2 linked regions of the Macaca fascicularis genome follow. The protein of the gene in region 1 purifies or fractionates together with the protein of each later gene. This does not show direct contact. Links are inferred from orthologs where the notes say so. Each region holds a gene or a part of one and is shown in the gene's direction. Other genes may lie near its edges. The genes, in order: ARRDC1 and NEDD4L.

Region 1 (4,304 bases):
AGCACTGGGGCCTGCCTCACCCACTCCATGGTGAGCTTGTCCGTAGGCGAGGGAGGCCTTCCCTTTCCAGGACTATCCAACGGTTCTCTCCCCACTTAGGTCCCCGGGGTATTTGAGTCCTACCCCCCCGCAGCTCACTCTCTACAAAAGGATCTTTAAGAAAGATAAATAGGAGTGTGTTTCTCCGGTTCCCAGTGATCTAAGTCCTCGCCCCACCTGGCCCCCGACCCTTCTGTTGCGGACCCCCGCCCCAGGGCCTCCGCCCAAGTGTGGCTCCGTTGGGCCCGCACCCTATCAGGCCAGCAGGGAGGGGGATAGCAGAGGGCGGGGCAGGCACTGGGACTCCGGGCAGGTGTGGGGAAGGCAGGGGGCGGGCGGGGGGGCGGTGGTTGGGCGAGGCAGGTGCTGGAGGGCGGGACAGGTGCGGGGGCAGGCAGGTACCGGGAAGGCGGGAGGGCGGGCAGGTTCCGAAAGGGCAGGACAGGTGCTGGGACGCGGGGTAGGTGCGGGGAAGGCGGGGGATGCGGGGTAGGAGCCGGGGGTGGGGGTTAAGGCAGGGCAGGTGCTAGGCGGCGGAGCATCCCCGCCCAGGACGCCCGCGCGGCCCAGTGACGTTTTTCCGCGACTCGGGGTGAGGGAGACCCCTGGGCGGGGCGGGCGGAGGGTTGGGGCGAGGCGTGGGTTATGCAGAGCGCAGCGGGGAGCCCTTCCCAGTCCCAGAGCTCGCCTCGGCCCCGCCCCCAGCCCCGCCCCCCGTCAGAGACGCGGCGGTGACTCCCTCAGTGGGGGATGCTGGGGACTCTTTCGCCTCAAGTCCCTTAAGCGGCGCCCGACGCAGCGCAGCACCTACCCAGCGGGGCGGGGGCCGGGGCCGGGGATGGATGAGCGGGGCCGGGGGGCGGGGTAGGGGTGGGGCGGCCGAGGCAGGGGCGGAGCTGGGAAGGCGAGGCAGGGGCGAAGGGCGGGGGCGGGGCGAGGAGCTGTCAGAGGGGCGGGGCATAATCAGGGCGGGGCCACGCGGACGGATGGGGCGGGGAATAGGGGCGGGGCCGGGCCTCCGAGCGGCAGCCCGCGGGCGATGGGGCTGCCAGGGGTCTGGGCGGGGCCGTGGGGCGGGGCAGGGCCTGGGAAGGGCCGGACGGGGGCGTGGCCTGGATTGGGACGGATGGGGGCGGGGCATAGGAGGGGGCGGGGCCGGACCTCGGAGCCGGGGCTCGCGGGCTGCCGGCGGGGGCGTCACTGTGCGGCGGGCCGGTGAGGCCGCGGCATGGGGCGAGTGCAGCTCTTCGAGATCAGCCTGAGCCACGGCCGCGTTGTCTACAGCCCCGGGGAGCCGCTGGCTGGGACCGTGCGCGTGCGCCTGGGGGCGCCGCTGCCGTTCCGAGGTGGGCGCGGGTCCTCGGGGAGGGCCATTGGCCGCACCTGCGCGGGGCCAGGGTTCCCGGAAGCGGCTGCCGTCGCCGGGCCCCGGGTTGGGCCCGCGAAGTCGCTGTCGTAGCCGCCCGGGACTGCTGGGGCGCGGGCTCGGCGGCGCCGGGGAGGTCCGGGCGGCGCCGCCCTTCCGCGTCTGCCCTTCCTGCCCTCTCGCCGAGGGTCGGCGTGGTCCCGGCGGGGCCTCAAGCCGGGGCCTGAAGCGGGTCCACGGTGGAGGACGCCCTGAGTGCGGGCACAAGCAGGCCTGCGACCCTCCCTGTCCGCGCTCGCACCTGCTGGGCTCCTTCCCGCACCCGGGCTCCCGGCGCAGGCGCTCCCTCTGCAGAGCCGCTCCTGGCCCGGGCGTGCGGTCCCGGCGGGGTGCAGGCACCTGCTGCGGCTCCCCGCGCCCCCTGCCCCGCGCCAGCAGGCCTCGCCCGCCCCCCGCCGAGGCGGACGCCTGGGCCTCGGGGACTGGGGATCGGGTTGCTGCAGTGGCCGCTGGCAGGGCGCCCTGGAGGTGAGGGCAGGCCAGCGAGGTGAGGCTGCCTCCCGAGGATGGGAGCCTCCGCACAGGCCTCTGCCCGGCCCCTGGTTGTGAGTGCCGCGTCCCTGCCGCGGGCTTCTCTACCTTGGCCTCCTGTGGGAACCACCTGGGCTGCTTGGCCACAGCCCGTGGGCTTCCCACTGGACCTTGACCGCTGGGCCTGCGCGTGGGTGACAGCACCGCTTTTGTGCCTGCTGAGAACCCACAGCCTCTGTTCTGTCCTCTCAGCCGCCTGGGACAGGTGATGGTGCTGTGGCCCTGACCCTGCACCGCCTGGGGCTGTGGGACCTCGAAGAAGCCTGGTGGTAGGTGCTTCTGTCAGGCTCCTGGCCCCATTGGGCCTCCTGGGATGACCCCACAGGCTCCCTTCCTCTGTCCCCAGCTTGAGTTTGGGGTCTGGGTGGGGGCAGGTGTGGCTGTGGCAGGGCAGAGATAGCACATGCATCCCTTGAATACAGGTGAGGTGTGGGGTGAGGCGGGCCGAGGGGAGTGCAGGGCCCTGTCGTCCCTCCCCTGGCGCGGCCTGGGGCGAGCAGGCCATTGCTGACCACAGGGAAGGGATGGCCTCGCGGTGCGTGACTGGCCTGGATGAGCAGGCTCCCCGGCCTCCGGGTGGACGTGGTGGGTGGGTGAACGCTCACGCCTGTAATCCCAGCACTTTGGGCAGCTGGCCCAAGAGCTGAGGTAGCACTGGCTCACAGAGGCTGGTCCGAGTGAGGGAGAAAAAGGAGGGTCATGAACTAGGGAGTAGGAGATGGGCCCTGATGGGCCGGAGAGCACATATTTCAGGCTGCTGCAAGTGAGGTGGGAGGGTTGTACAGGGGTTCCCGGGGGTTTCCCCCAGCCCTGCCTGGGATGGGAACGGAATGTCATCGTTTCCTCATTCAAAGGATGCTTGTCAATCCTGCTAGGAGCCAGTAGGGAGGCCCTCAGCCCGCAGGAGGACAGCAGCCCTGCCTGGGCCCCTGGGCTTGCTCACTTACTCTGCCGATGAGTGTTGGTGACGGTCAGCACCCAGCCATGAGGACGCCTGCTGTCTCGAGGGCTGACACAGAGGGAGGCCTGGGAAGGAGCAGTTTTCTGGAGCCCAGGCTGGCCCAATCCAGGGCTGGGGGTCAGGCAGGACCACCTCGTGTTCTGTTACTGGGATGGGCGACCAGGATCGACAGTGGTTCTCGGAGCACTCATGGTAGGCCTGATGCAAATTCTCTCCACATCCCATGGGCCAGCCTCAGTAACGCTCAGCACCCTGTGGCGTGGTTGTTACTCTCATGATACAGATTTGGAAACAGGACTGGGGGAGTGGCTTACAGGTCACAGCTTCTGTGGCAGGCATGAGTCCTTTGGGATGAGGATGAGGAGTTGGTGGGTCTTCTTGGTCCAAGTGTAGGTGGTGCAAAGGAGGGGCTCCTGAACTCGAGAAGAAAGTTCCAGTGGTCCCTCGAGAACACGGCCCAATCATGAGCTTCCTGAGTCAGAGCAGCCTCCAACAGCTGGTCCTTGGTTGTGCATCTGAACACACTTAGGAAACATTTTTTATTTTTATTTTATTTTATTTATTTATTTTTCTGAGATGGAGTCTCGCTCTGTCGCCCAGGCTGGAGTGCGGTGGCGCGACCTCGGCTCACTGCAAGCTCCGCCTCCCGGGTTCACGCTGTTCTCCTGCCTCAGCCTCCAGAGTGGCTGGGACTACAGGCGCTCGCCACCACACCTGGCTAATTTTTTTGTATTTTTAGTAGAGATGGGGTTTCACCGTGTTAGCCAGGATAGTCTCGATCTCCTGACCTTGTGATCTGCCCACCTTGGCCTCCCAAAGTGCTGGGATTACAGGTGTAAGCCACCATGCCCGGCCTAGGAAACATTTTTAAACCTGCATGGGGGAAGAGGGACGGGGCTTGCAGGGCCCCTGCAAAGAGGTGCAACATTCAAGTCCAGAAGGCGGAAGAAGTCACACTCTGACTAGGCAACTGCCACTGAGCCACTCAGTCCTGCAGCCAAGCCCTGCCTGGCGGCTTTCCTGTTGCAAAAGGCTTGGTTCCCTTCAGCCTGTTCTGCCATTACAAGCAGTCTGCAAGCTGGAAAGAAGAGGGAGTGGGGTCATATGCCTCTCTCCGGCAGCAAGGAGACCCCTCACAATGGACCCCACGCACGGCTCTGGCTTCTGTGGGCAGAACTGCATCCTGTGGTCCTGCCTGATTCGATGGTTTGAAAAGGCAGAAACATGGCTGCTGCCATTGGCCTGGCCAGTGAAAACGGGCTCCCTGGGGAATTCAGCCAGCCTGGCCTGAAGCAGTTGCTGAGAGGTGGAGGAGCAGCTCCAGGTGTTTTGGAAAGGAAGCAGCTT
Region 2 (4,534 bases), on another chromosome or scaffold:
TGTTGGCTATTAACCCAGCGGAGACAATATGTGGCTATGGTAGTACTTGGAAGTTCTAGCATTACACAGACTAGCTTCCATTTCTCTCTAGAGGTCATTTTTGGCATTTAAAACACATGCTTTTAGAAAACAGATTTGGATGTATGTAAACACAGGGTTAATCCACCACACCCTGGATGCTAGGGCTATTGACAAAGTCATGCTTTGCAGATTTTAAAATAAACTTTTTGTCACTCTTGCAGCTTGGTATTTTCCCCTCCTATTTTTTCACCCCCTCTAAATAAACCTCTTTGTTAACTAATTGGTGTTTCTGGATCATAGAAAATAGTGAGTTTAAAATACAGCATATTTCCAAGCTAACTACAAATCTGAGGACAGTTTTTCGACTGTGCACCTTTCCTTCCATTTCTTAAGTCTTTTTTGGTCCTTTGCAAACATGGCAAGATTCCATATTTGTGTCCCAACTGTGGTAATATTGCTGACTTCGTACTGGAGAGCAGTCAGCTCTAGGCAGCATTTCTTCTGCATGGTATTTAAGTTAAATTATTACCACACACAAAAAAAATCCACATGCACTCCCTTCTTCAATTTTCCTTTTGTTTTTTGTTGTTATTGTTTGTTTTTTCGTTGACGTTTTCTTTCCTACCTGGCATATGGGAGACAATGTTTTCTCCAGCTGGGTTCCTTTTCTCTGGTACTTTGGTGTCTGCCAGTCATGTGTGAGCTACACACACGTATACACCTTTTAAATGAAAAATGCTGTGATAGCAGGAGGCCAACTGGGTGTGTAGCACGTCGCGCTCCCTCCCCTCCCTTTAGCTATTTTGTTACTTGTAGATCCTGGTCTAATTATTTAGCATTAAACGGACACTAACTCTGTGGGGTGTGTAATCGTATTTATAGTACTGTTTTATTAGTTTGCATTCCATCCTGGTAGTGTAGTGATGTCATAAATAACAGAAACATGGTATCCAATGCTTGGGAAGGGGTTTACCCGGTGGCCAAGCCATATTTTACTTGTCGTTATTCCATGTGTGGTGGGAGGTGGGGAAATACCGTGTGTGCTGTTAAACATGCCAGGTCCCTGCACAGGTTAGACAGAGTCCCAGCGCTGTGCTCCATTGGGAAAGAAATGCCCTGTGAATGTGATGTGGTTTAGATTTATAGCAGCGTGGCTTGCAGTGTGTTTGCTGCCTTAGTCAGCTGTGAGAGCGCCCTGCTGGGGCCACTCCTTTCTGATGGAAAAGCAGCAGCTGGGAAGGTGCTGTTTCAGGCTCTTGCCGTTTAAAAAAAAAGCGAGTGGGGGAAAACTCCTCTAAGTCCAGAAGCTGGCATTGGAGGGGGAGAGCGCGGTCATGTGGTTCTGGCCACCCTACCCTCTGTCACAGTGTGGATGAGAGCTTTTTGCTCTTATCCAATCATGCCTGGAATGCCGCTTGCCACTTGGGTTATTTCTGCTATCTGTCGCTCCTGGTGCCGCAGTGCTAACAGTTTGGCAGATGGGACACTTTTTCTTGGAGTTTGTGTCTTTGGTTTGTGACTTCTGGCAGTGCCGGGCCTGTTGTTGCCGCTCGCCCTCGCCCTCCTGGCCCCCCTGGTCACCATGGCCCATCGGCTTCGGTTTCATTTTGGCTCTGGTCGCAGCAACACAGCCCCCGAATCAGAGATCCTAGACCAGGAGAGAGAAGACGACTTCTTCATGGCATTCCACACCCTACCACGGAGGAACAGCCCGCACCCCTTCGCCCAGAACGTAGGGGAGGATGGCGACGGAGGCCTGCAGGGAGGCGTGGGCGCGCTCAAGCGGAGCTCGTCCATGTTCATCCCGCAGCTCCTGACCAGCATCGACGCCCGCCCCACGTGCAGCTCCTCGGTGCAGATCTCCCTGCAGCGCAAGGCCGCGGACGGGGCCACGGATGGGTGCGGGCCGCCCGAGGGCGCCGACGATGGGCCTCCGTGCACCACGCCGGACCCCGGGGACCAGGCCTCCGCCACCGCCACCGCCACCGCCACCACGAGGGCCTCGCCCCAGAGCGGTTCCCGGGAGCCCTCGCCGAGGGACACCCCCGGGAACTCCCCTCCGAGGGCAGCCCGGGACCCGGGGCTCCAGGTCAACGGCACGTGCGGCGGCCGCCGCCGCGTGCGGTGCCCTGGCCCGGTGGACTGCCCCGAGGAGGCTGCCCCGGGCCTGCGCATCCAGCACCGCGCCTCCAGCGCCGACGTGCGCCAGGTGAGGCTGCTGCCCCTCGGCCCGGATGGCCAGGGCGGCCCAGCGGCGGCAGAGCCCAGGCGCTGGTCCCTGCAGCACGTTCCAGATGCTTCTGGAAGCTCCGGGAAGCGGTGTTTTGTCTTCCAGTTGCAGCAGCCCCAGCAAGGCGCTCTGGGGTCAGGCAGTGACCTCAACTTTGGCTTCACGGGCACAAAGGGGGACAGGTTGGTGAGGTATCCCCGCATTCGGCTGGAGAGGAGCACCTCGTACCCCACGCAGCCCCGAAGCGAAAGAGGGAGCCCCACGGAAGATCGGGGAGCCCCGGAGGCACCGCCTCGGGCTGGCAGGATGGCTCCCGAAATCCGCAGGACGAACTCCGCAGAGAGGACTCCGCAGGGCCAGGGGTGCACATTTAAGATCAGGCAGGATCAGAACGCGGGGCAGCAGCATTTTAGAATTCTTGTAACCCGGGGGCCGGAAGAAGCTCCCCAGAATCCCGAGGAGAAAAGCGCCAAAAGCCCTGTTTCCACGGGAGCTGACGCCACGGTAAGTTCACGGCTTGTTTACATGTGTTTACTGATTTCAACTTCGATGCTTACTCTGCGGCGTAACCAAAATAAACCTCACCCTCTGTCCCGGGAGTTTCCCTGCTTCAGGCCAGCGGATCTGAATGTTTGGCCGAGTTCTGGCACGATGATTTGTGGTCCAGAGTTTGGTGCGCAAAACACCATTTCTGCAAATGTCTTCTGTAGGTCCTCAAAGTCAACCAACTTTGTCTGTTTGGGAAATCCAAGCAGAATACCTTCCCCCTGCTTTTATTTTTCTGAATAGAAGAATTTTGAATAAAATTTATTACTTTAATCTGCCAAAAACCAAGTCAGTGCCCCAACATGTTGATGGTGGAAATGCATTTAAAAAGCTGCTTGCAAATATAACCTGCGACAATACTTTAAAAACAATCAGTTCTCGGAAAGGTGAGGATATTGCAAAGGACCTGAGTTTCGTCTCTTAATAGTTAAAGAAGGTGAATGTAAAGTTTGGTGAAATATGATTATTTGTCATGGCCTTTTTGCTGAGGGGGTCAGGTCAGTCGTTGTTATATAATTCGCTTTGGGTTTTTTTGTTGTTTTTTATTTTTTTGTCCCATTAAGTAATACTGAACGAGAGTAGTGTCACTTGTGGCATAGCGACATTACTGTCCCACAAGTGACACTACTGAGATACTAAGAGATGTGTTTTTAAAACAACTGGGTTATGGCCCAAGGCTAGGGGAAACTGACGGGGACTCATTAATGGTCAGATGGCATGCCGTGCAATTTAACACTGTCCACTTGAGTGTCCAAGCCGGGGATGCTGTATATAGAATAGTAAGTACCCTGTCTCCAGCTGTGGAAATAGACGCCTTAGAACAGATTCTGGCCTTCCTGTTTCTCTGTTCCTGATCGCTCCCTTTCAGTGAAATGGAGTACAGGGAGACAGCTGCACACTCCATCCGACCAGGCATATGATGACTCTGCAGCTTTCGTAGAGTGGGATGAAAAGTTTAATCAGTTCGGTTTCTTTTAGTAGTAACCACTAGCCAGTGAGTGCTTTCTCTTAAAGAACAAGCTCCTTATATTTTGAATTGGATATTTTTTTCTCCTGAATTTCATGTGACTGCCAATTTGAGGATACGATTAGTAAATGTCTAGGGGACTTTTTGTTTGGATTTCACTTGTGAATAGTGATTTAGAAAAGTGAGTGTCTGAGTATTACTCTAGAATTGTATTGTCTTTTATTGCTTTGTGTTCAGAAATACGTTTCGTCTTTTAAGTAAACTTTGTCACTCCTCTATCATTGGTTGTCATCATTTTGAAGATACAATCAGATGCTTAATGAAAATTTGTTTTTCTTCATCTCTTTCTTTCCATGTATCTCCTTTCTTTCATTATCTCAAACTCTTCTGTTGGGAAACAGCTAAGTGCTTTGCCTTGGTCGGAACCTATACCATATATTACACAATGGTACAAATTTTGACAGAGTTTTGATATTATAGTAGCCTTTAACCCCCACCCCAACAAGTTACCATCATGACAGTTGTAGGCTTTGTTCGGTAACACAATTCCATGCTGAACTTGGACCACTTAACACATGAAGATTGACAAAAATATATTTCCTAAAGTTTGATAACTATTCAGTTGTATTATCAAAAACTGAAATCACTTTGCAGGTCAGATATAGCGGACAAAGGGATTCATACAATTAAAGTCAAAAAAGTTCAAACTCATTTGGTTTGAACTTTCAAATGTAATTAGAAAACAAATTGAATAAACTAAAACTTATGTG

Evidence for each region.
Region 2: the proteins of ARRDC1 (region 1) and NEDD4L purify together in Homo sapiens (affinity purification with mass spectrometry; 3 studies listed by BioGRID and IntAct, counting the BioPlex papers as one, with this or other methods). This does not show direct contact. The link is inferred for Macaca fascicularis from reciprocal best matches to the Homo sapiens genes ARRDC1 and NEDD4L.

Annotation. Positions count from the first base shown.
Region 1 is NC_088389.1:1,706,979-1,711,282, reverse strand, and holds the start of ARRDC1 (arrestin domain-containing protein 1), read left to right. Parts: upstream 1-1,235; 5' UTR 1,236-1,267; coding exon 1,268-1,385; intron 1,386-4,304. UniProt on the Homo sapiens protein: Functions as an adapter recruiting ubiquitin-protein ligases to their specific substrates. Through an ubiquitination-dependent mechanism plays for instance a role in the incorporation of SLC11A2 into extracellular vesicles.
Region 2 is NC_088392.1:22,722,237-22,726,770, reverse strand, and holds the start of NEDD4L (E3 ubiquitin-protein ligase NEDD4-like), read left to right. Parts: upstream 1-1,478; 5' UTR 1,479-1,603; coding exon 1,604-2,755; intron 2,756-4,534. UniProt on the Homo sapiens protein: E3 ubiquitin-protein ligase that mediates the polyubiquitination of lysine and cysteine residues on target proteins and is thereby implicated in the regulation of various signaling pathways including autophagy, innate immunity or DNA repair.